4 linked regions of the Saccharomyces cerevisiae S288C genome follow. The main gene of each other region encodes a partner of the protein of the gene in region 3 in a complex. Each region holds a gene or a part of one and is shown on either strand. Other genes may lie near its edges. A codon is read from its position in the direction of its gene.

The links.
Region 1: the proteins of CDC45 (region 3) and SLD3 are in contact, whole or in part, in a crystal structure (PDB 8J09), measured with the Saccharomyces cerevisiae proteins. Residues at the interface, in NP_013204.1 of Saccharomyces cerevisiae: Glu234 (codon at 3,083), Leu237 (codon at 3,092), Glu238 (codon at 3,095), Glu239 (codon at 3,098), Tyr241 (codon at 3,104), Ser242 (codon at 3,107), Lys520 (codon at 3,941), His521 (codon at 3,944), Leu522 (codon at 3,947), Arg523 (codon at 3,950), Ile524 (codon at 3,953), Tyr525 (codon at 3,956), Leu527 (codon at 3,962), Val529 (codon at 3,968), Gln531 (codon at 3,974), Asp561 (codon at 4,064), Lys562 (codon at 4,067), Glu574 (codon at 4,103), Tyr579 (codon at 4,118), Ile601 (codon at 4,184), Leu602 (codon at 4,187), Asn604 (codon at 4,193), Met607 (codon at 4,202), Ala608 (codon at 4,205), Gln611 (codon at 4,214), Arg634 (codon at 4,283), Leu637 (codon at 4,292), Ser638 (codon at 4,295), Pro639 (codon at 4,298), Leu641 (codon at 4,304); in NP_011402.3 of Saccharomyces cerevisiae: Ile215 (codon at 2,935), Val216 (codon at 2,938), Lys219 (codon at 2,947), Lys267 (codon at 3,091), Phe294 (codon at 3,172), Glu295 (codon at 3,175), Tyr298 (codon at 3,184), Lys299 (codon at 3,187), Lys301 (codon at 3,193), Leu302 (codon at 3,196), Lys303 (codon at 3,199), Lys304 (codon at 3,202), Arg305 (codon at 3,205), Ser306 (codon at 3,208), Leu307 (codon at 3,211), Asn308 (codon at 3,214), Leu309 (codon at 3,217), Thr310 (codon at 3,220), Lys311 (codon at 3,223), Lys312 (codon at 3,226), Leu314 (codon at 3,232), Val315 (codon at 3,235), Glu341 (codon at 3,313), Asp344 (codon at 3,322), Leu345 (codon at 3,325), Asp348 (codon at 3,334), Arg349 (codon at 3,337), Cys351 (codon at 3,343), Ile352 (codon at 3,346), Ile355 (codon at 3,355).
Region 2: the proteins of CDC45 (region 3) and PSF1 are in contact, whole or in part, in a cryo-EM structure (PDB 3JC5), measured with the Saccharomyces cerevisiae proteins. Residues at the interface, in NP_013204.1 of Saccharomyces cerevisiae: Ser23 (codon at 2,450), Lys50 (codon at 2,531), Leu53 (codon at 2,540), Val54 (codon at 2,543), Gln55 (codon at 2,546), Ser56 (codon at 2,549), Gln57 (codon at 2,552), Ile58 (codon at 2,555), Val59 (codon at 2,558), Pro60 (codon at 2,561), His70 (codon at 2,591), Leu74 (codon at 2,603), Asp75 (codon at 2,606), Asp76 (codon at 2,609), Lys471 (codon at 3,794), Val474 (codon at 3,803), Ser475 (codon at 3,806), Trp478 (codon at 3,815), Trp481 (codon at 3,824); in NP_010296.3 of Saccharomyces cerevisiae: Phe162 (codon at 2,799), Asp164 (codon at 2,805), Arg166 (codon at 2,811), Glu173 (codon at 2,832), Tyr178 (codon at 2,847), Val180 (codon at 2,853), Phe181 (codon at 2,856), Asn182 (codon at 2,859), Leu183 (codon at 2,862), Ile184 (codon at 2,865), Asp186 (codon at 2,871), Ser187 (codon at 2,874), Gln188 (codon at 2,877), Phe189 (codon at 2,880), Phe190 (codon at 2,883), Val191 (codon at 2,886).
Region 4: the proteins of CDC45 (region 3) and MCM5 are in contact, whole or in part, in a cryo-EM structure (PDB 6PTO), measured with the Saccharomyces cerevisiae proteins. Residues at the interface, in NP_013204.1 of Saccharomyces cerevisiae: Lys311 (codon at 3,314), Pro313 (codon at 3,320), Tyr335 (codon at 3,386), Ile368 (codon at 3,485), Pro369 (codon at 3,488), Leu370 (codon at 3,491), Ser371 (codon at 3,494), Gln374 (codon at 3,503), Glu375 (codon at 3,506), Tyr379 (codon at 3,518), Tyr415 (codon at 3,626), Arg416 (codon at 3,629), Gly417 (codon at 3,632), Asn436 (codon at 3,689), Asp486 (codon at 3,839), Pro534 (codon at 3,983), Asp535 (codon at 3,986), Asp537 (codon at 3,992); in NP_013376.1 of Saccharomyces cerevisiae: Phe34 (codon at 1,746), Glu37 (codon at 1,755), Phe38 (codon at 1,758), Arg39 (codon at 1,761), Leu40 (codon at 1,764), Asp41 (codon at 1,767), Glu66 (codon at 1,842), His67 (codon at 1,845), Ile69 (codon at 1,851), Gly70 (codon at 1,854), Asn72 (codon at 1,860), Glu73 (codon at 1,863), Asp74 (codon at 1,866), Tyr76 (codon at 1,872), Lys77 (codon at 1,875), Ser141 (codon at 2,067), Asn142 (codon at 2,070), Ala143 (codon at 2,073), Asn144 (codon at 2,076), Gln145 (codon at 2,079), Ile146 (codon at 2,082), Ile159 (codon at 2,121), Val160 (codon at 2,124), Arg161 (codon at 2,127), Gly578 (codon at 3,378), Met583 (codon at 3,393), Gln587 (codon at 3,405), Asn590 (codon at 3,414).

The regions. Positions count from the first base shown.
Region 1 is NC_001139.9:293,640-299,493, forward strand, and holds SLD3 (Sld3p), read left to right. Parts: upstream 1-2,292; coding exon 2,293-4,299; downstream 4,300-5,854. Other genes in the region: YGL114W (uncharacterized protein), read left to right, coding at 1-1,998; TATA-binding protein-associated factor TAF6, read right to left, coding at 4,539-5,854. UniProt on the Saccharomyces cerevisiae protein: Required for loading and maintenance of stable association of CDC45 with chromatin during initiation and elongation of DNA replication. Also involved in temporal regulation of origin firing. Required for the association of PSF1 with origins.
Region 2 is NC_001136.10:470,842-475,057, forward strand, and holds PSF1 (DNA replication protein PSF1), read left to right. Parts: upstream 1-2,315; coding exon 2,316-2,942; downstream 2,943-4,216. Other genes in the region: 60S ribosomal protein uL4 RPL4B, read left to right, coding at 1,012-2,100; RAD61 (Rad61p), read left to right, coding at 3,205-4,216. UniProt on the Saccharomyces cerevisiae protein: Required for DNA replication. Functions as part of the GINS complex which plays an essential role in the initiation of DNA replication by binding to DNA replication origins and facilitating the assembly of the DNA replication machinery.
Region 3 is NC_001144.5:342,730-348,324, reverse strand, and holds CDC45 (DNA replication initiation factor CDC45), read left to right. Parts: upstream 1-2,383; coding exon 2,384-4,336; downstream 4,337-5,595. Other genes in the region: tRNA splicing endonuclease subunit SEN2, read left to right, coding at 145-1,278; LCL2 (Lcl2p), read right to left, coding at 1,345-1,740; APC9 (anaphase promoting complex subunit 9), read left to right, coding at 4,558-5,355; ERG27 (3-keto-steroid reductase), read right to left, coding at 5,472-5,595. UniProt on the Saccharomyces cerevisiae protein: Required for initiation of chromosomal DNA replication. Acts at the origin of replication. Also has a role in minichromosome maintenance.
Region 4 is NC_001144.5:689,909-695,953, forward strand, and holds MCM5 (MCM DNA helicase complex subunit MCM5), read left to right. Parts: upstream 1-1,646; coding exon 1,647-3,974; downstream 3,975-6,045. Other genes in the region: protein phosphatase regulator PIG1, read right to left, coding at 1-1,121; mRNA splicing protein SMD2, read left to right, coding at 4,470-4,474, 4,565-4,892; DBP9 (ATP-dependent DNA/RNA helicase), read right to left, coding at 5,138-6,045. UniProt on the Saccharomyces cerevisiae protein: Acts as a component of the MCM2-7 complex (MCM complex) which is the putative replicative helicase essential for 'once per cell cycle' DNA replication initiation and elongation in eukaryotic cells.

The sequences.
Region 1 (5,854 bases), on a different chromosome or scaffold from region 3:
GCATTGTTAGCTTGTGCTTTCTTTAAAAATATCTGGCCATTAATATTTCCGAACGACAGGCCTTTCAGTGACGTTGAAAATGTATACGTACAAAGTATGGCAGTAGCTGTCGGAACAGGCCCATTAGCCTTTGGGTTTGTCGGCGTCATACCTGCCATCGAGAAGTTCCTTACTAACGACGAAAGTGGTGGATTAAGGGAACAAGGACAGTCCTTCACTTTTAGAGAATTGTTAATATGGTCCACAGCCCTAGCATTCTTCGGTATTTTTTTTGCAGTTCCTCTAAGAAAGCAAGTAATTGTTAGAGAGAAACTTCCCTTCCCCAGTGGTAGCGCCACGGCCACTTTAATTTCAGTGCTAAATGGAACTGAGATTTTACAAGAGGTTTCTAAGTCAGAGTTATTGGAAATGAGGCAGAGGAGATTGAATGAATGCCCTGAAGTGCTACAACCCAACAGAGATCCAGAGGAGGCGGATTATTTAATGAACTCTTCTCATAGCGAACTTGGTGATTATACGGCAACTAGCCAAGATGGAAGTTCTATCCTTTCTACTGGCTCTGAGAACTACAGAGCGAATATTATTATTTTATTGAAAACTTTTGTTGTTTCTTCGCTTTACACCATGGTGTCATATTTTGTACCGGTAATACGGTCTATTCCAGTCTTCGGAAAATACCTCTCGAACAATTATCTCTGGAATTTTCAGCCGTCGCCTGCGTATATAGGCCAAGGGATAATAATGGGTCTTCCAACAGTATCGTATATGCTTATCGGGTGCTTCTTAGGCTGGGGTGTGTTAGCACCATTGGCGAGATACAAAAGATGGGTACCACCAGATGCTGATGTCCACGACTGGGAGGAGGGAGTGCAAGGATGGATTCTTTGGTCGTCGCTTTCAATAATGGTTGCTGACAGTGTAGTCGCTTTTATTGTTGTGACAGTGAAGTCCATTGTGAAATTTATTCTTATAGATGACAAAGCTGCTTTACTGAACAACATAATCGATGATACATTTCAATCTATGTTACTGGAGGAGGAACGCGCCATTAATAGCAGCAGAAGAAATACATATGTTGATGGAAGGCAGGACACCGTAAGATTAGTGAGTAGAGATAACGAAATAGAAGTAGATTCGAAGCATTTGGTTCGCTATACCACCGTTATCAGTGGATGTCTAGTCTCCTCGATAATATGCATTGTTTCCATAATATATTTGTTTGGGATACAAGTAATTCCCCTATATGCTATTATCACTGCTTTGATACTTGCGTTGTTTCTATCTATTCTCGGTATTCGAGCACTTGGAGAGACCGATCTGAATCCTGTGAGCGGCATTGGTAAGATCTCTCAATTGATTTTTGCCTTTATCATACCAAGGGATAGACCTGGATCAGTGTTAATGAACGTGGTATCGGGAGGTATTGCAGAAGCCTCTGCCCAACAGGCGGGCGATTTAATGCAGGATTTGAAAACGGGGCACCTCCTCGGCGCCTCCCCAAGAGCTCAGTTCTGTGCCCAATTGATAGGGGCCTGTTGGTCAATTATTTTGTCTAGCTTCATGTATTTGTGCTACAATAAAGTTTATTCAATTCCGAGTGAGCAATTCAGGATACCGACAGCAGTAGTGTGGATAGATTGTGCAAGACTAGTAACTGGTAAAGGGCTCCCTGATAAGGCCTTGGAGTGCTCCATGATTCTCGGAGTCATATTTGCCGTTTTATCATTAATCAGAAACACTTATAGAGATTACGGATACGGGTGGATATTATATATTCCGTCTGGTGTAGCAGTCGGTGTTGGTATATTTAATTCTCCCAGTTTTACAATTGCAAGATTCATCGGCGGGTGGGCTTCGCATTTTTGGTTGAAGAATCATAGGGGTGACTTAAATGCGAAAACAAAAATGATTGTATTCAGTTCGGGGTTGGTCTTAGGTGAAGGTATCTTTAGCGTAATAAACATGCTCTTCATCTGCTTAAATGTCCCTCACTATTAGGTATATAATATTTTACTAATAAAGAATTTACAAAGTTTACAAATTTTAAATTATTTACTCATCACATAATTCGATGTCTTAGATTTCCCTGTATATATATTTCTAGGTGACAAAAATCCTAGGCAAAATGTTATATTATACGCGACCTTGAAATATCGGCTATCTTGGTGTACAACATGGTCCATTTAAGAAAAATAAAAAAAAGTGATGGGCACTGTTAAAACAGGCAGAAGCCTCATTCATAACTGCTGAAGGGTTAAGATCGTATAGGTAGGAACGATCTGACCTCTCATAATGGAAACATGGGAAGTCATAGCATCGGTAAAAGAAGCAACAAAAGGCCTTGACTTGAGCTTAGATCATCCACTTATTATTAAATCCGAGGACGTGCCCAGTAACATTCTCCAATTACTGCAACAGAAGAATCGACGTCAATTGAAACACATCTGCATGAAATCAAGAAAAGAGTATTTTCTACTAGAGGAATATGGGCCAGGATTTTGGGTTAAGTGGCCGTACAATTATTTCAATGGTTACAGCTTACCAGAAAGGCGTACGGAAGTTGTAACGACAGTTGAAAGAGAAAGAGCTAAGCGTGAAACGTTAAAAACATGGGACGAATTGAAATTTAAAGAGCTTCTTCATTTATGGTCAGAAGAACCCAAGGGCTCGTGTAAGCTTGAGAAGGACAAAGACCTTAAACTGGATATGAATCCCCCAGATATGAAAGGCGAATCAAAAATTAATGACTACTATTCAGACCCTAAAGAGTACATAGAAAGTAAGTATTATGATGCTCTTTTTTCCATACATACGCCTCTCGCATATTTCGTCAAGTCAAATTTAGTAAGGCTCAAAAATACCTGCCGAACCAAGTACGGAAGTGACAGTTACAAAATAGCCTATCAAGCCATGCTGCAAAAATTTCTTCTCTCAATTGTACAATTCAAAGATAGACATGATAACAGGCTTTTATTAGAGCCCTTTTCTAGTCCCATAGCAGATGAAAAAAGGAAGAACTGTCTCACAAAATTTGTTATCCAAGATGAAAACAAAAACAGCTCAACCATTGCTGATTTATGTGTTGTATTAAAATCCCGCGAAATAAAGCTACAAATATTATTGCTATTAGAGATAATAGGATTGAACGATTTAGATTGGAATTTTAGAGATTTTGAGAAAAAGTATAAATTAAAATTGAAGAAAAGATCACTTAATTTGACAAAAAAGGGATTAGTTCGTCGAAGATCGAAGAAAAAAACCAGCGAAAAAGACAAAGGAATCGAGAGAATAACAACATCTTTGGATTATTGTGAACAGTTAGACTTGTACTTAGATAGAGCATGCATCTTGGACATTCTACTATCAAGTGAAACGCCCAACCCAGATGCCATAGAAGCATCAAATGGAACAATACAAGAGCATAAAAAAAATATCCTAGACAAAAGCAAAGAAGCCTCATTGGTTGGGTTCATAAATTATGTTCTTATTCCATATTTCAACAAAAAGGTACCACACGCCGTTGAATTTATAATTCAAAAGCTCAAGGGACCAAGCATGAGACCAAAGAGAGCCCTGAAAAAGGTCAACGATAGCACAAATGTATCGTCACCTAATACTGTAGAAACGTATAACAGGTTATCCACGAGTCAACGTGCCTCTCGCTCTTCAATCATTAATTCCGTCCCATCTTCACCCGCATTGAGAAGGGTGGACGCTAATTTGTTCAGCAGAAAATCTATAGCTTCGCCCACCCCTGAACTTTTGAATTCTAGAACGAACTCTAACTTGAATGAATTTCTCGAAAGTGAAACTAGAAGCTTAAAGCGCCCTTCACAATTGGGAAGGACGAAGTCTGATCTAACGATGAATCATTTACAAAAACGGCAGTTTTCTGTCTCTGACTTAAGCACAACAAGAGTACCGAATTCATCAACTATCACACTCAAAACGCCTTTCTCGCACTCAACTATTAATGCATACAAAACTATGAATAACTCTTTTCGCAGAGTTGGGAAACGTAAAGATATCAATGAAACGATACGCCTACATGAACGTGTAGACTCTGAGGAAAACGTACAAGTTCAAGCCACTCCTGCTGTGAAAAAAAGAACTGTGACACCTAATAAAAAGGCGCAACTTCAAAGCATCATTGAATCGCCGCTAAATTTCAAGGATGATGATACGCATGAAGGCAGAAAAAATACCTCCAATATTACCTCTACTCCCACTAATAAGCCCCCGGAAAATAGCTCAAAAAGGAGAGTAAGAAGACGTTTATTTGCTCCAGAATCCACATAGAATAAGAAACTGCGAGACCACCTTCGCTGGCAAGTAGTTGACCCAACTCCATCTTTGTAGCTTTTCTTGGACGAAAAGGGAATAAAATAAAACTAAGCTACAACAATTTCGCACTTCGGGGGCCTTTGAGTATACAATTAAATAACTCATCATGCATATATATATATATACATACAATGGCGTATGTAAAAACTGTTATATAACATTACCGTTGTACTATTAGTATAAACCGATTCTCACTATTCGCCAAAAAATATCGCACTAATTAATTCTTTTGCGTCGTCTCTTTTCAAAATGTGAAATCCAATAGTGACACCACACCTCTCTAGCAATTTTTCCTTATCCTCATCCGTAACTTTTTCACCTTTACCCTCGTACAAATCTGGTAAATCCTTTTTTAGAACTAACAATGCACTAATTACAGTATCAACCAAGATTTGAGTTTCTTCTTTAGTAAATTTGGTCCTAGTTGGATTGGAGTCATCGTTCAAATGTTCCTCTATATTGTCTAGAGTTATTCCGCTTTCATTGAATACCAAGCGCGCCCAATTATTTAGGTTTCCTAAGAAGAATCTGATGGATTCACCTTCTAGTACCGATACACCCTTTAAGCACCCATAGTAAGTCCCAAAAACACGGTTTATGTCCAAAAATGTCTTTAGCAGTGTCCTAGTTACTCTTGGCTTCAGGGATTTGTATGCTTGAGGAAATTTTTTCAATACATAGTCCAACAAAGATGCGGCAAAATCACGTAGTGCATTCGTTCTTTCTAAAAATTCATGAATTTCTTGCGGCGAATCATCTTTTGGTGATCCACCAAGTTTTTTTGCTAATAGCAAGGTTAAAATGGAAGGCATTAACGAATGAATATAAGGGTCCAGGAAAATAGAAGTATTGCTTAGTAAAGAGTAAATCATTTCCAAAATTGTTGTTAGCAATTGTAAATCGGAAAGATTTTGTGTGATTTGTTCGGCAATAAATTGAATAAAATATGGAACCAGTTGGTGCAGGCCACTATCAGTTCGTAGTGAAGTCAAAGCTGCTTGTTTCATATGCTGTGCAGCTTCATCAGCTTGACTCTTCGCTGTCAAGGTTGAAATGACCTTATTGAAATAAATCTGTAATTCTTTGGATAAAACGTGTTTCACTAAAGGTTTGACTTCAGTATTCTGTCCTGGTTTAACATTAGACAGGTGTTGAGAGGCGCCTGTATCCGTCACAGAAGCACTTGCTGTCGTCGACGTTACAGGTGTTTGGAGGCTGTTATCATTCAAAGCAGTGACAATAGCACCTCTAATAAATGGTGGTTGGGATACCCTTATATCATTCAAATTTGGATTTTGGATTATGGCAGGTTGAACCCCTTCAACTGCTAGCCAATGTGTAGTAAAAGTTGGTAGACGAGGCACTTGCGGTAATGGCTCATTTATTAATCTATCAAAATCTACTTCTTCCTCATCCAGGTAGTAAACCGACTGTCCTCCACTTGTGTTAACCTTACTAAATGATACAGCTTTATTAACTTCAGAGCCATCATAATATCCATATAAAGGTT
Region 2 (4,216 bases), on a different chromosome or scaffold from region 3:
ATATCCCTTTCATATGATTAACAAAACTTGGTAAATTATCTGGCCTGTCAACCCTTACCTGTCCTGTCCCTTCTTTAGACAAAAGAAAATAAAAAAATTGGACACAGGAAAACAACAGCCTCCATACCACAGTTTCTGTGTCTTATTCTATTTAGGAAGGTCATTCTATATTACTCAAAGGAAAGACATCCAGTAGAAACAATAGTGTTGCTAAACGGTTAACTTGCCCACTAATGTCTGCTTATATTTGCAAATCACTATTGTGGCAAGTCATACCCTGGAGCTTTGTGATTGAACAACATATACTATATTGCAGCAGTATTTTTCAGAAATAATATTCGAAAGAAGTGAGAACAAGAAATGACCACGATAGATTACAGCTGACCAACTTAGAAAATGAGTAAACTTATTTTTGTCTTAAGAAGTGCATGCAGCGACCTCTCCCAATTACCAAATTGTAATTTTTTATTATTCTTTTTTTCTGCATAGTTCATTCGACAGCTTGGTTGAAAAGAGTGATAAAAATTTTCTGTTTTATGAAAAGTTTTCATAACTCTATTAAGGGTTGCACTATAAGAACATTTCGCAATAAAGCAACCCTTATCCGGACCCTACATGTTCCGTAAGTCCTGCCTTATTTATCGTAACGGTATTCATCTTACAGGAATTTTTGAATATAGATAACGTTAGTTTTGATAGATTGGAACAAATGGGAAAATAACAATTTAGAAGCGCTTTCCTCAGCGTATCTGAATTATAAAACAACTGCGCATATTGCTAAGAACTGCACTGAAGGCATGAATTGTCTATTCCGTTAGAAATATAATTATTTACGAAAGCATCGCGCAGACGCAATTTTTTTAACATTTTTTTTTTTTCAAGTACTCTGGAAAAGTTTTCATGAAGATCATGAATACGTTACACTACTATTATTATTGAAAATAATATTTCTTTCCTATCAGCAATCGCTTACATATTCATAGTCATTTACTAGGGTATATACCAATAATAATGTCCCGTCCACAAGTTACTGTTCACTCTTTGACTGGTGAAGCTACTGCCAATGCCTTGCCATTGCCAGCTGTCTTCTCCGCTCCTATCCGTCCTGACATTGTCCACACTGTTTTCACCTCTGTGAACAAGAACAAGAGACAAGCTTACGCTGTTTCTGAAAAGGCTGGTCACCAAACCTCCGCTGAATCCTGGGGTACCGGTCGTGCCGTCGCTCGTATTCCAAGAGTTGGTGGTGGTGGTACCGGTAGATCCGGTCAAGGTGCCTTCGGTAACATGTGTCGTGGTGGTCGTATGTTTGCTCCAACTAAGACCTGGAGAAAGTGGAACGTTAAGGTTAACCACAACGAAAAGCGTTACGCCACTGCTTCTGCTATTGCTGCTACTGCTGTTGCTTCTTTGGTCTTGGCCAGAGGTCACAGAGTCGAAAAGATTCCAGAAATCCCATTGGTTGTCTCCACTGACTTGGAATCTATTCAAAAGACCAAGGAAGCTGTTGCTGCTTTGAAGGCTGTTGGTGCTCACTCCGACTTGTTGAAGGTCTTGAAGTCCAAGAAATTGAGAGCCGGTAAGGGTAAGTACAGAAACAGAAGATGGACTCAAAGAAGAGGTCCATTAGTTGTCTACGCTGAAGACAACGGTATCGTCAAGGCCTTGAGAAACGTTCCAGGTGTTGAAACTGCCAACGTTGCTTCTTTGAACTTGTTGCAATTGGCTCCAGGTGCTCACTTGGGTAGATTCGTTATCTGGACCGAAGCTGCTTTCACCAAGTTGGACCAAGTCTGGGGTTCCGAAACCGTTGCCTCCTCCAAGGTCGGTTACACTTTGCCATCCCACATCATCTCCACTTCTGATGTCACCAGAATTATCAACTCTTCTGAAATCCAATCTGCTATCAGACCAGCTGGCCAAGCTACTCAAAAGCGTACTCACGTTTTGAAGAAGAACCCATTGAAGAACAAGCAAGTTTTGTTGAGATTGAACCCTTACGCCAAGGTCTTTGCTGCTGAAAAGCTAGGTTCCAAGAAGGCTGAAAAGACTGGTACCAAGCCAGCTGCTGTTTTCGCCGAAACCTTGAAGCATGACTAGAATTTATAGTATAGATCTTTAACTTTAATTTAAATATCTTTGTTACTAGTCTTTAATCAAACCTTTTTGTTTTCTTTAAAGTCGAAACGTCAGATTTGCTCAAAACCTTCTTGTCGTTACAACGCGAAAATTGTAATTTAAAATAACTAACGAAGAAAGCTGAAAAATAGATGTGAGGGAAAATCGTTTATAAACGGCCATGCTCACAGAGAATCATGTATGGAGATTTAGGTAATAAATTAGTATTAGAAGCTAAAAGAACAAAACAGCTGTACGCAAGAAGTAATCAAGATGTTAATTTACCCATGTATCATGAAGATATAATACGAAATATTCTGAAAGAAGTTTCAAATTTACGTAAAAATACGGAATATCTTAAAGAACAGCAGCAACTAGGAATGCTAGATGATAAGGTGGCTAAATGCCAGTATTTCGTTACCTTGTTATGTATGGAAAGGAACAAGAGATGTCTCTTAGCATACCAAAGGTTGAGAACAGACATACTAGATTCTATGGCTTGGAATAATAATGGTCTGGACTTGATGAGTAGCATTACGTTTAGCCAACAAGACACAAATAACCTTTCTCATCAAGAGCAGGAATATTTGAAAGAATACTGCGATTTAATTACTGATTTAAAAAGTGGTGACTTGGTCGATATTGATTTATCCGGCTCTTTAGTGCCTCCGAGCGATGTATTTATTGATGTTAGAGTGCTCAAAGATGCTGGTGAGATTCAAACTGAATACGGCGTGTTTAACCTTATTAAAGACTCCCAGTTTTTCGTAAGGCAGTCTGATGTAGAGCGTTTGATTCAACAAGGTTATTTGCAGAAGATATGATAAAATGCTTTCAAGCTGGTCTTCATGATATATAATCCTTTATAAAGCAAGATACATACCTCCATTCTAATTTACTCCCTTCTATGTTTACTTCAGCCCTTTTTAATAGATTTCGTAAGTTTTGGTTGAGGAGGCTTTCTGAGCTTTACGCGACTTTATTGATGACGAAGCTTCACTTTATTATAATAATGAAAAACTGCGCAGAGAAACTATCGCAAAACGAAACCATCTTCTTACCCTAAAGCATCCTGTTTCTGAAAAAATGAGAGCATATGGAAAGAGGGGCCCAGTTCTCAGAACTCCTTTTAGATCTAATAAAGGCTTGCCATCTTCTTCCGATGTTGAATTTAGTGATGACGATGTAAACTCCGTGATTCCTGATGTAAGTTCTACCATTTCGAGCAGTATTGCAGACCACCCGATAGAGGGATTATTGGACGAGCCTAGAAAGGCTCAGGACAGCTCGTCGTCATTTGATGGTGCAAATGAGAAGCCCTCTTCACAACTGGACTCAAAAAGGAATGACCAAAACGTCAAAATTATCACTAGCAGTGATACCTCAATGGCATTTATGAAAGATGAAAAGTTAAGTGCCTTTAATTTCCTTGATGGTTCAAAGGCATCTAAGAGAAAAAGAAGAAGAACTTACCAAAAGCATGATGCGAACATAACGTCTTCAATTGAACCAGACGTACAAGATGAAGACAGCATTACAATGCACAATGAATTTGAATCAATAAGGAAAATATACAATGACATCAATGAATTCATATTGAAGCTACCGAGAGCTGACGATGATATACTGAATAAAATGCTTGAAAATGAGATGAAGATGGACGACTCTATAGAGAATAATAGCATACGCACATCCAAAGACAAAAAATATGGCAAATTTAGAACAATATTAATAAACAAAAATAAAGAAAATGAAATAATGGGAGAAGAGGTAGATCAGAAAGCTAACACCTTGTCCCTAAATAACGCTGACAACAGTAATGCTGAAAAAGAAGGATTAACTTCAACAAATCACTACAACGAATTAAAAAATATGGGAGATACAATAAAATACCAGGATGATATTGAGTTTCTTCTGTCCAATTCTAAAAGTAATGACAATACTACGGTACCAATCAATGAATACTTTAAAAAACTTTTAAATTTATCCCTAATGATTATTAATGACGAAGAATTTTTTCAATATGCGAAAAGATATTTCAAAAAGGAAATAATTAAGCTTAGTTTTGCGCAATTTAGATCGGATTTTCCTGAATTAA
Region 3 (5,595 bases):
GTGCTTTCACTAACATCTCTTTGCTCTAGTATTTCATTTCGGTGCATAAAACATTTGAACTTCCATCGAAATTCAATATGCTAAAACGTTTCATTGTAACACGACGCTGAAAAGACAATAAGTACGAAGGACTCAAGAAGGAGCATGTCTAAAGGGAGGGTCAATCAGAAGCGTTACAAGTATCCTCTTCCAATTCACCCCGTAGATGACCTTCCAGAGTTAATCCTTCATAATCCGTTATCTTGGCTATATTGGGCATACCGCTATTACAAGAGTACGAACGCACTGAACGATAAAGTACATGTAGATTTTATAGGAGATACCACTCTTCACATCACGGTTCAAGATGACAAGCAAATGCTATATCTTTGGAATAATGGATTTTTTGGCACTGGTCAATTTAGCAGGAGTGAGCCTACATGGAAAGCTAGAACAGAGGCCAGACTGGGTCTCAATGATACTCCCCTCCACAATCGGGGAGGAACAAAGAGTAATACTGAAACGGAGATGACTTTAGAGAAGGTCACACAACAGAGGAGATTACAAAGATTAGAGTTCAAGAAAGAACGTGCGAAGTTAGAAAGAGAATTACTAGAATTAAGAAAAAAAGGTGGTCATATCGATGAGGAAAACATCCTCCTTGAGAAACAACGAGAATCATTAAGAAAATTTAAACTAAAACAAACAGAAGACGTGGGCATCGTTGCACAACAGCAAGACATTTCCGAATCAAATTTAAGAGATGAAGACAACAATCTTCTTGATGAGAACGGTGATCTTTTGCCACTAGAGTCACTAGAACTAATGCCAGTGGAAGCTATGTTTTTAACTTTTGCACTTCCTGTTCTTGACATATCTCCCGCGTGCCTGGCAGGGAAACTGTTTCAATTCGATGCCAAATATAAAGATATTCACTCCTTTGTCAGATCATACGTTATATACCATCACTACAGATCACACGGTTGGTGCGTAAGATCTGGTATAAAATTCGGCTGCGATTATTTATTATATAAGAGAGGGCCACCATTTCAACACGCTGAATTTTGTGTTATGGGTCTTGACCACGACGTCTCTAAAGATTATACGTGGTATTCTAGCATAGCCCGTGTTGTGGGCGGCGCAAAGAAGACGTTTGTGTTATGCTACGTGGAGAGACTAATCTCGGAACAGGAGGCGATAGCACTATGGAAATCAAACAACTTTACTAAATTGTTCAATAGTTTTCAAGTTGGTGAAGTATTGTATAAGAGATGGGTTCCCGGAAGAAATAGAGACTAGAATATCAATGAGAAGATAAATCCTTCGTATGTATATATGTATGTGTATGTATTTTTTATACAGATTTCAATGGTTTTTGTAAGCATCTGATACCCATCCACAATCCCTAAACCCCTTGTTCTTTGCTTTGGGGCCCTTGACAGGGTCATCATATATTGCTCTAAACTTTTCATTGTGTGTGGCTGGTTTGGATATGCAAACAAATTTATTATCAGGAAGGACACATTTCAACTGAGATTTAGGGAAGGGACAAGGACAGTCTTTCTGCTGTGCAACGCACGTTAGGGTGTCCGGACACAAATACCCATCACAAGGGTTATTTAAAACTTGATCTTCATATGATTGTTGCTGTTGCTGTTGCTGTTGCTGATGATGACCGAAATTGAAGAAGGCATTCACTCCAGTGCTGCCAAAAATAAACAATGCAAAGATGAGAACGATACTCCAGCGACTTTGACTCATACTACAGTAAAATTTGGTCGTTTTTTGCCTGGCAAACCATGCCTATTTTTCGTCATTAAAGGTCTTCTGAGCTTTCATCAAAATTATCTCTATAATTATAAAGGACAGCTCAGAGCCACACCCAAACATCTGCAAAGGTAAAGGCCATCTTTCATCTCACATTGCCTAACAAGAAAGTCACATTGCAATTGTTTCGAGAAGAAAACATTAATTCAATTACGTGGTTCCCATGCGTCTGTGTTAAGCGTCAATTTATCATTTGACGAACTCGTTGCAACCACAAACAAAGCAAGGGCCGCATTTATCAAAGGAAAACCAACCAAAAGCATAAATAAACGAGATTTTTATTATGAAAAAGCCATGCGAATCCTACTAGAATAAATTCAAAGTGAAGACATTTAGTCAATTCGATCTTCTCTCTCTTGCTTTAACTAGTCGTAAAACCTAATAAGTTTCATTCACGACGCGTATTTTTTTTTCAACATATCATCTAACGCGTTTTAAGAAATTTCAGTAAATAATGAAGCTGTAGTAATGCCAACAATCCATTGTGGCTACTTTATACAACGCACTATAGAGCAATAAAAGTGTAGCAATAAACACTAGAGAGAAGGCACATAATAACAAGAATATACTCTCGCACATGTATTATGGAATCAGCCAGTTTAGCGAAGCCTACAACAAAATCTTAAGGAATTCATCGTCTCATTCATCATGTCAATTGGTCATTTTCGTTTCTTGTCTTAACATCGATGCGCTGTGTGCGACGAAGATGTTGTCACTATTATTCAAAAAACAATTGGTACAATCTCAAATAGTACCGATATTTGGGTACTCTGAATTACGACGCCACTATTCTCAATTGGATGACAATATAAATAGTCTGCTATTAGTAGGGTTTGGAGGCGTTATTGATCTGGAGGCTTTCTTAGAAATCGATCCCCAAGAGTATGTTATCGATACAGATGAAAAGTCGGGGGAACAAAGTTTCAGGAGAGACATCTACGTGTTGGATGCTCATAGACCGTGGAATCTCGACAATATATTTGGATCACAAATCATCCAATGTTTTGACGACGGTACGGTGGATGACACATTAGGCGAACAAAAAGAAGCATACTATAAATTGCTTGAACTGGACGAGGAGAGTGGTGACGATGAGCTCTCAGGTGACGAGAACGATAATAATGGGGGTGACGATGAGGCAACTGATGCCGATGAAGTCACAGACGAGGACGAAGAAGACGAAGATGAGACAATATCTAATAAAAGAGGTAATTCTTCAATAGGACCGAATGATCTCTCAAAAAGAAAGCAACGAAAGAAGCAAATCCATGAATATGAAGGTGTTTTGGAGGAATACTATTCTCAAGGCACAACAGTGGTTAACTCGATATCTGCACAAATCTATTCATTATTGTCTGCTATCGGAGAAACAAATCTTTCAAACCTGTGGTTGAATATACTTGGTACGACCTCGTTAGATATAGCATATGCTCAAGTTTACAATCGATTATACCCCTTATTGCAAGATGAAGTGAAGCGTCTCACACCAAGCAGTAGAAACTCAGTAAAGACCCCTGATACATTGACGTTAAACATCCAACCGGATTACTACCTTTTCTTACTGAGGCATTCTTCATTGTACGACAGTTTTTATTATTCTAACTATGTCAATGCCAAACTATCCCTATGGAATGAAAATGGGAAAAAGAGATTGCATAAGATGTTTGCTAGAATGGGTATACCATTAAGTACTGCACAAGAAACATGGTTATACATGGATCATTCTATTAAGAGAGAACTTGGGATAATATTTGACAAAAATTTGGATCGTTATGGGTTGCAAGATATAATTAGAGATGGGTTTGTTAGAACTCTTGGATATCGTGGGTCCATAAGTGCCAGTGAATTTGTCGAAGCACTAACAGCTCTTTTGGAAGTAGGTAATTCAACTGATAAGGATAGTGTGAAAATAAATAATGACAATAATGACGATACAGATGGAGAGGAAGAAGAAGATAACAGCGCTCAAAAATTGACGAATTTGAGAAAAAGATGGGTTTCGAATTTTTGGCTCAGTTGGGATGCTCTAGATGACAGAAAGGTGGAACTATTAAACCGTGGCATTCAACTAGCACAAGACTTACAGAGAGCAATTTTTAATACCGGGGTTGCTATATTGGAGAAGAAATTAATCAAGCATTTAAGAATTTATAGATTATGCGTCTTACAAGACGGACCCGATTTAGACTTGTACAGAAACCCATTGACGTTATTAAGATTAGGAAATTGGCTCATAGAATGCTGTGCGGAATCTGAAGACAAGCAATTGTTGCCCATGGTGCTTGCCAGCATAGATGAAAATACGGACACTTACTTGGTTGCTGGGTTAACACCTAGGTATCCTCGCGGACTAGACACGATACACACAAAAAAACCTATTTTGAATAATTTCAGCATGGCGTTTCAACAAATAACTGCAGAAACGGATGCTAAAGTGAGAATAGATAATTTTGAAAGTTCCATAATTGAAATACGTCGTGAAGATCTTTCACCATTCCTGGAGAAGCTGACCTTGAGTGGATTGTTATAATCAAATTTATATTATTTAGTCGTACATATATACCAGCATATGAATATAAAATCTAAGCTTTTTCAAGCTTTTAAGTCCAACTTTTCTATAATAATACCATATTTTGTGCGCGGCTCTTGACAAAACAAAAAAAAAAACCTAAATAAAAGGAAATTAAGAACAGGGAACTAGGTTTGGAAGGACAAATTCAGGAAGGAAAGAAATAGCTGTGACAAAGTAAGATGAACCAAAATGGTGATAAGAACGAAGGCAAGTTGTTTCAACTACCGTCATTGCCGCCCTGGAAAACACCAAGGTTCAACAAAGCCAACTTTAACAATTTTACCACACCGCTACGGAAAAGGTCGACAAGGGTAATAAATGATGATTCGATGCCCATAACAGGCGAAGTACTAGAGGAGAGGACTGCAGATGATCTCTATGGGATAAATATGGACGTAGACGAAGTCGACTATCTGAATACTTTGAGCCACATCGAGGAAGAAAAGCAATACGATTATTCACCGTTTTGTGAGCGCAATACGCTAAGGGAAAGTAGAATTGACAGTTTTTTGAAAGCCGAAAGGGCAGCACATTGTCTTGTGTTTCATAAGGTGGGCCATCTAGACGGCATAGACAGCTATCGACCCGATATTGACATCATGTGCGGCGAAGAGGCTAATAAATATGACAGTGCGAATCCGGAGGGCAATGGTTCAATGTTGTTAGAGAGTGTACCTGGATGCAACAAAGAAGACCTGGAGAGGTTATCAAGGCGAGAATTTGTAACAAATTCGAAACCTAATATGAGACGGTTGGATGACATAATAAATCATGAAACGAACGCCTTAAAAAGTTTCTGGAACGACTCAGGATTAGTCAATTCACTCCAAAGTCATCATTTGCATGAAGAGTACCTTCTTTTGCAAGAAGAATTAAAGAATGTGTACAAGATTAAATGCCATGACAGAGTGCCAATAGAAAGTCTACGCGATAAGTGCAGAAGACACTATAGCAACGAGGATAGTTCGTTTCTCTGACAGAGGCAATGCCTTTTTTGCTTCACGTGTATATATATCAGTTGATATGCGTTTTCTATACAGACATACATGTATATACACACATATATATATATACATATGTACGCAGAGATATATTAAATGGGGGTTCTAGTTTCAACAATTTGATCTTTCAGTTTCTCGTCCCATTCCAGTTTCTTCTTCTGTATATAAGCGAAGACATCAGACATTCCAGTAGGGTCTATTTCCTGCGTCTTGATA
Region 4 (6,045 bases), 350 kb from region 3:
GAATTTTCATTATTTTTCGACATAGTAACCTCTGCATTGCTAGCCCCCATTTTGGAAGGCCCAAGATTGGAATTAAATATCGATGAATTCGAAACCGCACGATTTAGATTTATTGCTGACAAAGAGATCGTTATTTCATAGTTTTTATAGTCATTATTATCGTAAAATGATCTATATTCGAAACCATTTACATCATAACGACAACAGAACTGCAAATTCAGGAGACAAGTAGTTTTCCTTTCAAAAAAGTTAGTGTAAATCAAGTTTTTTGATATTAGATTTAACTTCAACGCAGATATATCAATAATAAATTTGAATTCGTCAACATGAGGGGTGACAGACTTGTTGTAGTGTGCATTAATATAGTGAATATCTGCCCAGTTATTTAAAGTAAATTTTATCTCTATTTTTTTCTCGAAGTTCAAATTATTGACAAATATAAGGCCCCAGATTTGACAGTTACCAAAATTATTGCTACAAATATCCTCGTAGCTTACAGGATCAGATAGTTCTAATGAATGAACCTTTATATTTTGTCCATTTAAGTATTTGAAAATCTTGTCTTCCAACCCAGTAACGTCCACTTTATAGTCACTTTTGAATGGATTCAAATTATTACTGACCAGTTTCCAATCTGCCATATCGAATGTCTCCTCTTCACCAAAGCAGAGAATCTCCTTTTCAATGAACATGCTACGATCATGCATAAGCATTGCATTATCCTCTACGTCACTCTCGTTGTCATACTCAACATCCTTATTGTCATATTCTAAATCACTGTAATCTAAAATGTCTAAACTATAACGATGATCTTCACCTCCAATGAAGGGGAACGTTAGTGGAATGGCATTGTTATGCAAATTTCTTGTAAGATTTGAAGCGGCTTTTTCTGATATCGAGATAGGCGCCAATTTTGTGTTGAACTTTTTGACTGTGTATAAATGTGCAGCAAACCTTACCGATTTCCCTGATGATGAAGATGATGTCGACGAAGATGCAGATGTAGAGTCTTCTAGTGGTGAAAATGAATTAGAGGTTGTTGAGGAAACAAAAGAAGAAGTGGAGATTGTTTTTGCGAGTTTCAAAGACGGTTTAAGCTTCTTACCATGGCTGTAAGGCATTTGTAAAAACAAAGAGTAAAATTATTGACCTTATAACAAGCGTCAAAGAAACGAGCATAGAAGTATTATACGGCCTTTATTTGTCAGATTATACTCCAGACTTAGTAAAAAATTCAATTAAATTCCAAACTGCTTACCCCAGATTTAGTGAATAAGAGCCCTTTATTCTACCCGCTTATCTCTGGATGTAAAACAAATAAACGCGTAATAGAGCAGTCAAACTAACAGCAGTAAACTGTCAATATCAAAAACGTAACAATTGATTCAAATCAGTTTATTCTAAGCCGCCTATGCCAGCCTTTAATTTTCTTCTCCTCCTCTTCACTCCCAGGTTAAGCCATTTAGTTTGTTGCTATGCGGTGTGTGGCGTGTTTCCCTTTTAGGAAAAGTGATTACTTGCAGTTTCGCGAAATCTCGAAGAATTTTTTCAACTTATTGAAAGAACATGAATATACTTGTTAACGTGATTAAACGTTTTATCAGAACAACCTAAGAGTATCTCCTTGGTGAATTAGAAGCCAGATAATGTCATTTGATAGACCGGAAATATACAGTGCTCCTGTTTTACAAGGAGAATCTCCTAACGACGATGATAATACTGAAATCATAAAGTCCTTTAAGAATTTCATTTTGGAGTTCAGACTTGACTCGCAATTTATTTACAGAGATCAGTTAAGGAACAACATCCTTGTGAAGAATTATTCTTTAACGGTTAACATGGAGCATTTGATCGGATATAACGAAGACATATATAAGAAACTATCAGACGAACCTTCAGATATCATTCCATTATTCGAAACCGCGATCACACAAGTGGCTAAAAGGATAAGTATTCTAAGCAGAGCTCAATCTGCTAATAACAATGACAAAGATCCAGAAAATACTAGTATGGATACTGATTCTCTCTTATTGAACTCTTTACCAACATTTCAATTAATTTTAAACTCCAATGCAAATCAGATTCCATTGAGAGATTTGGATTCTGAACACGTCTCCAAGATTGTCCGTTTATCAGGTATTATAATATCCACGTCAGTTTTATCTTCCCGTGCCACGTACCTTTCTATAATGTGCAGAAATTGCAGACACACAACATCAATAACAATCAACAATTTCAATTCTATCACAGGCAATACCGTCAGTTTACCACGTTCTTGCTTATCTACGATTGAGAGTGAATCTTCTATGGCAAACGAGTCGAATATTGGTGATGAATCGACCAAGAAAAATTGTGGACCTGATCCATATATTATTATCCATGAGTCTTCAAAGTTTATTGATCAACAGTTTTTAAAATTACAGGAAATCCCAGAACTGGTTCCAGTAGGTGAGATGCCTAGAAACTTAACAATGACTTGTGACCGATACCTAACAAACAAAGTTATTCCTGGTACGAGAGTCACTATAGTAGGTATTTATTCCATCTATAATTCTAAAAATGGTGCCGGATCCGGAAGGAGCGGGGGTGGAAATGGAGGAAGTGGTGTTGCTATTAGAACACCTTATATCAAAATATTAGGTATTCAGTCCGATGTAGAAACCTCCTCTATTTGGAATTCAGTAACTATGTTTACTGAGGAGGAAGAAGAGGAATTTCTACAGCTAAGTAGAAACCCGAAGCTTTATGAAATTTTGACCAACTCTATTGCCCCCTCTATTTTTGGTAATGAAGATATAAAAAAAGCCATTGTATGTTTATTGATGGGTGGTTCCAAGAAGATATTACCCGATGGTATGAGGTTAAGAGGTGATATCAATGTACTATTATTAGGTGATCCAGGTACCGCCAAATCTCAACTATTGAAATTTGTGGAGAAAGTGTCACCTATTGCGGTATATACATCTGGTAAGGGATCTTCTGCAGCTGGGTTAACTGCCAGTGTACAAAGAGATCCGATGACAAGAGAATTTTATTTGGAAGGTGGTGCTATGGTGCTTGCCGATGGTGGTGTTGTATGCATCGATGAATTCGATAAAATGAGAGATGAAGATAGAGTGGCCATTCATGAAGCTATGGAGCAGCAAACAATCTCCATCGCAAAAGCTGGTATCACTACAGTGCTAAATTCTAGAACTAGTGTTTTAGCGGCTGCTAATCCGATATACGGCCGGTATGATGATTTGAAGTCTCCTGGTGACAACATTGATTTCCAAACTACTATTTTATCCCGTTTTGATATGATTTTTATTGTTAAGGATGACCATAATGAAGAACGTGATATTTCAATAGCTAACCACGTTATTAATATTCATACAGGAAATGCTAATGCTATGCAAAACCAACAAGAGGAAAATGGCAGTGAAATTAGTATTGAAAAGATGAAACGTTACATTACGTATTGTAGATTGAAATGTGCACCAAGACTTTCACCGCAGGCCGCTGAAAAACTGTCATCGAACTTCGTCACCATTAGGAAGCAATTATTAATCAACGAATTAGAGTCAACGGAAAGGTCGTCTATTCCAATTACCATTCGTCAATTAGAAGCTATTATTAGAATAACAGAATCATTAGCCAAGTTAGAATTAAGTCCTATTGCACAGGAGAGACATGTTGACGAAGCTATTAGATTGTTTCAAGCTTCCACAATGGACGCAGCGTCTCAGGATCCAATTGGCGGCTTAAATCAAGCAAGCGGAACATCTTTGTCAGAAATCCGTCGTTTTGAACAAGAACTAAAAAGAAGATTACCTATAGGCTGGTCTACTTCTTATCAAACTTTGAGGAGAGAATTTGTAGATACACATAGATTTTCTCAATTAGCACTGGATAAGGCCTTATATGCCCTAGAGAAGCATGAAACAATTCAATTGAGACACCAGGGACAGAATATTTACAGAAGTGGTGTATGACAACAATAAAGTCTTAGCTTGACGCCTTTTCTACTTGTTTGCATGTAATGAATCTAAAAAATTCGCTACAAATACTTCATTATTATATTTCTATATAAATTCTGTAAACGAAATTATACTTTTTGAGGTTTCATCTGCGTCTCATATTCTTTTTGTATAATAAACGCACAGACTTGATATGACCGTCAATCAAAATAATTCAAAGCTTCTTAAAAAAGAAATTGAAATCAAAGACATACGAAAGAAATTAGAAAATAGAGGTCGATTTACCACTGAACAATCCTACAGTACATGAGCTCTTGAAGTGACTTTATGGGGACCAATTTGTCCTATCGTGATATTACTACGGGTAATACTACCAAATGAAAATTATCTTACTCAAAAGGTATGACAAGAACATCATCACTAGAACATCATCATTCTTAATAGCAAGCGCCATCACGTTTGCCCCGCCTTTGACAGTTGATTAGAGGAGTATTATAAAACCGTTTTATCATGTCGTATGTTTGATCTTAACCATTTTTACATCCTATAATTTGGAGTGAATTTTTATATACTAACTTAAAAGTAATTGATTTGTATCTTTCCAGTTCACAAATAATTGATCGTCCAAAACATGAACTCTCTAGAGCAGAATTAGAGGAACTAGAAGAATTTGAATTCAAACATGGTCCAATGTCCCTGATAAATGATGCTATGGTGACAAGAACACCTGTGATAATCTCATTAAGAAACAATCATAAAATAATAGCGAGAGTGAAAGCTTTCGACAGGCATTGTAATATGGTTTTAGAAAATGTGAAGGAGCTTTGGACAGAGAAGAAGGGCAAAAATGTAATTAATCGGGAAAGATTCATAAGTAAACTATTCTTAAGAGGTGATTCAGTTATCGTTGTGTTAAAAACCCCTGTTGAGTAAAAAGTAAGACAAGCAGCCCTCAATCAACAAGGAAAGCAAATCATCGTAAGAAACTTTACAGTCAGCGGAAAGCCTTTTTTTATTTTGGAAGTAAGACCAATTATTATTGGCTGATTTTCTAGCTCTTGCGAAAGTATTATATTCAAGAAAACGAATAAAGCATCTATATTATCACATTTAACTAAAGAGCATTTTTAATAAGTAGATTTTTACATAAAATATAGAATAAATATCAATATTATTAATCATTTGAAGTTCTTCAACGGGTCTACTTTACCATTCTTTGGCTTACTGACTCTTCCCTTTTTATGTGAATGGCGCTTCTTAGCATTGTGGAAAGGAACAAACTTGACTTTGGTTCCATTTCCTCTGGCTGATTCAGGAAGCAAGTAATCTGGAACACGCTTTAAATGCTGTTGCACTCTTGCTGGATGTAATTCTTTATCGTGTCTTAAACTTTGTAGCTCTTTTGGATTCTCCTCAAAATGTCTTTTCAACTTCTCACTTGCCAATAGTTCTTGTTTCAACTCTTTGACCCTAGCTTCTCTAATGGCAACTTGAGTAACAGCACGGAAACCGTCTTCCATTCTGTAACGGAACGCCTCGACCTGCTTTTGATCGAATTTGTAAGGCTGTAATTCTAATCCAAGTTTGCTCTGTTGTTTGATGATTCGTGAAAGAATCCTTTCATCCTTCTTTGCTGTCTGTAGCATTGATGGCTTATGCTTACCAAATTCTTTCAGTGGGACTACGAATGAAATTGCAGTACCGGTCTTTCCGCCACGAGCAGTTCTACCTACTCTATGCACGTAGGACTTAGCCGTCGTAGGTAAATCGAAATTGAGGACACATGCAACATTTTTGAAATCAACACCACGAGAAACACCATATTCCTTATCTTTCTTCACTTGGACCTTCTTTTTCTTGCTTGGTTTCTTATCGTTCTCAGGCTCGCCTTCCAAGCTTTTTTCTTCTTGATTTTCTGTATTGTGCCCTTCTTCTATTTCGTCATCTTCCTCTTTTATGTACTCGGTGTCATCTGTGGCAATCAATAGTTGGTAAACGTTTTTATTGAATTGGTCAACAATATGTTGCCTCGAATTAACGGGTAGCTCGCTGTTTAAAATACAGGACTTGATACCAAATTGTTCCA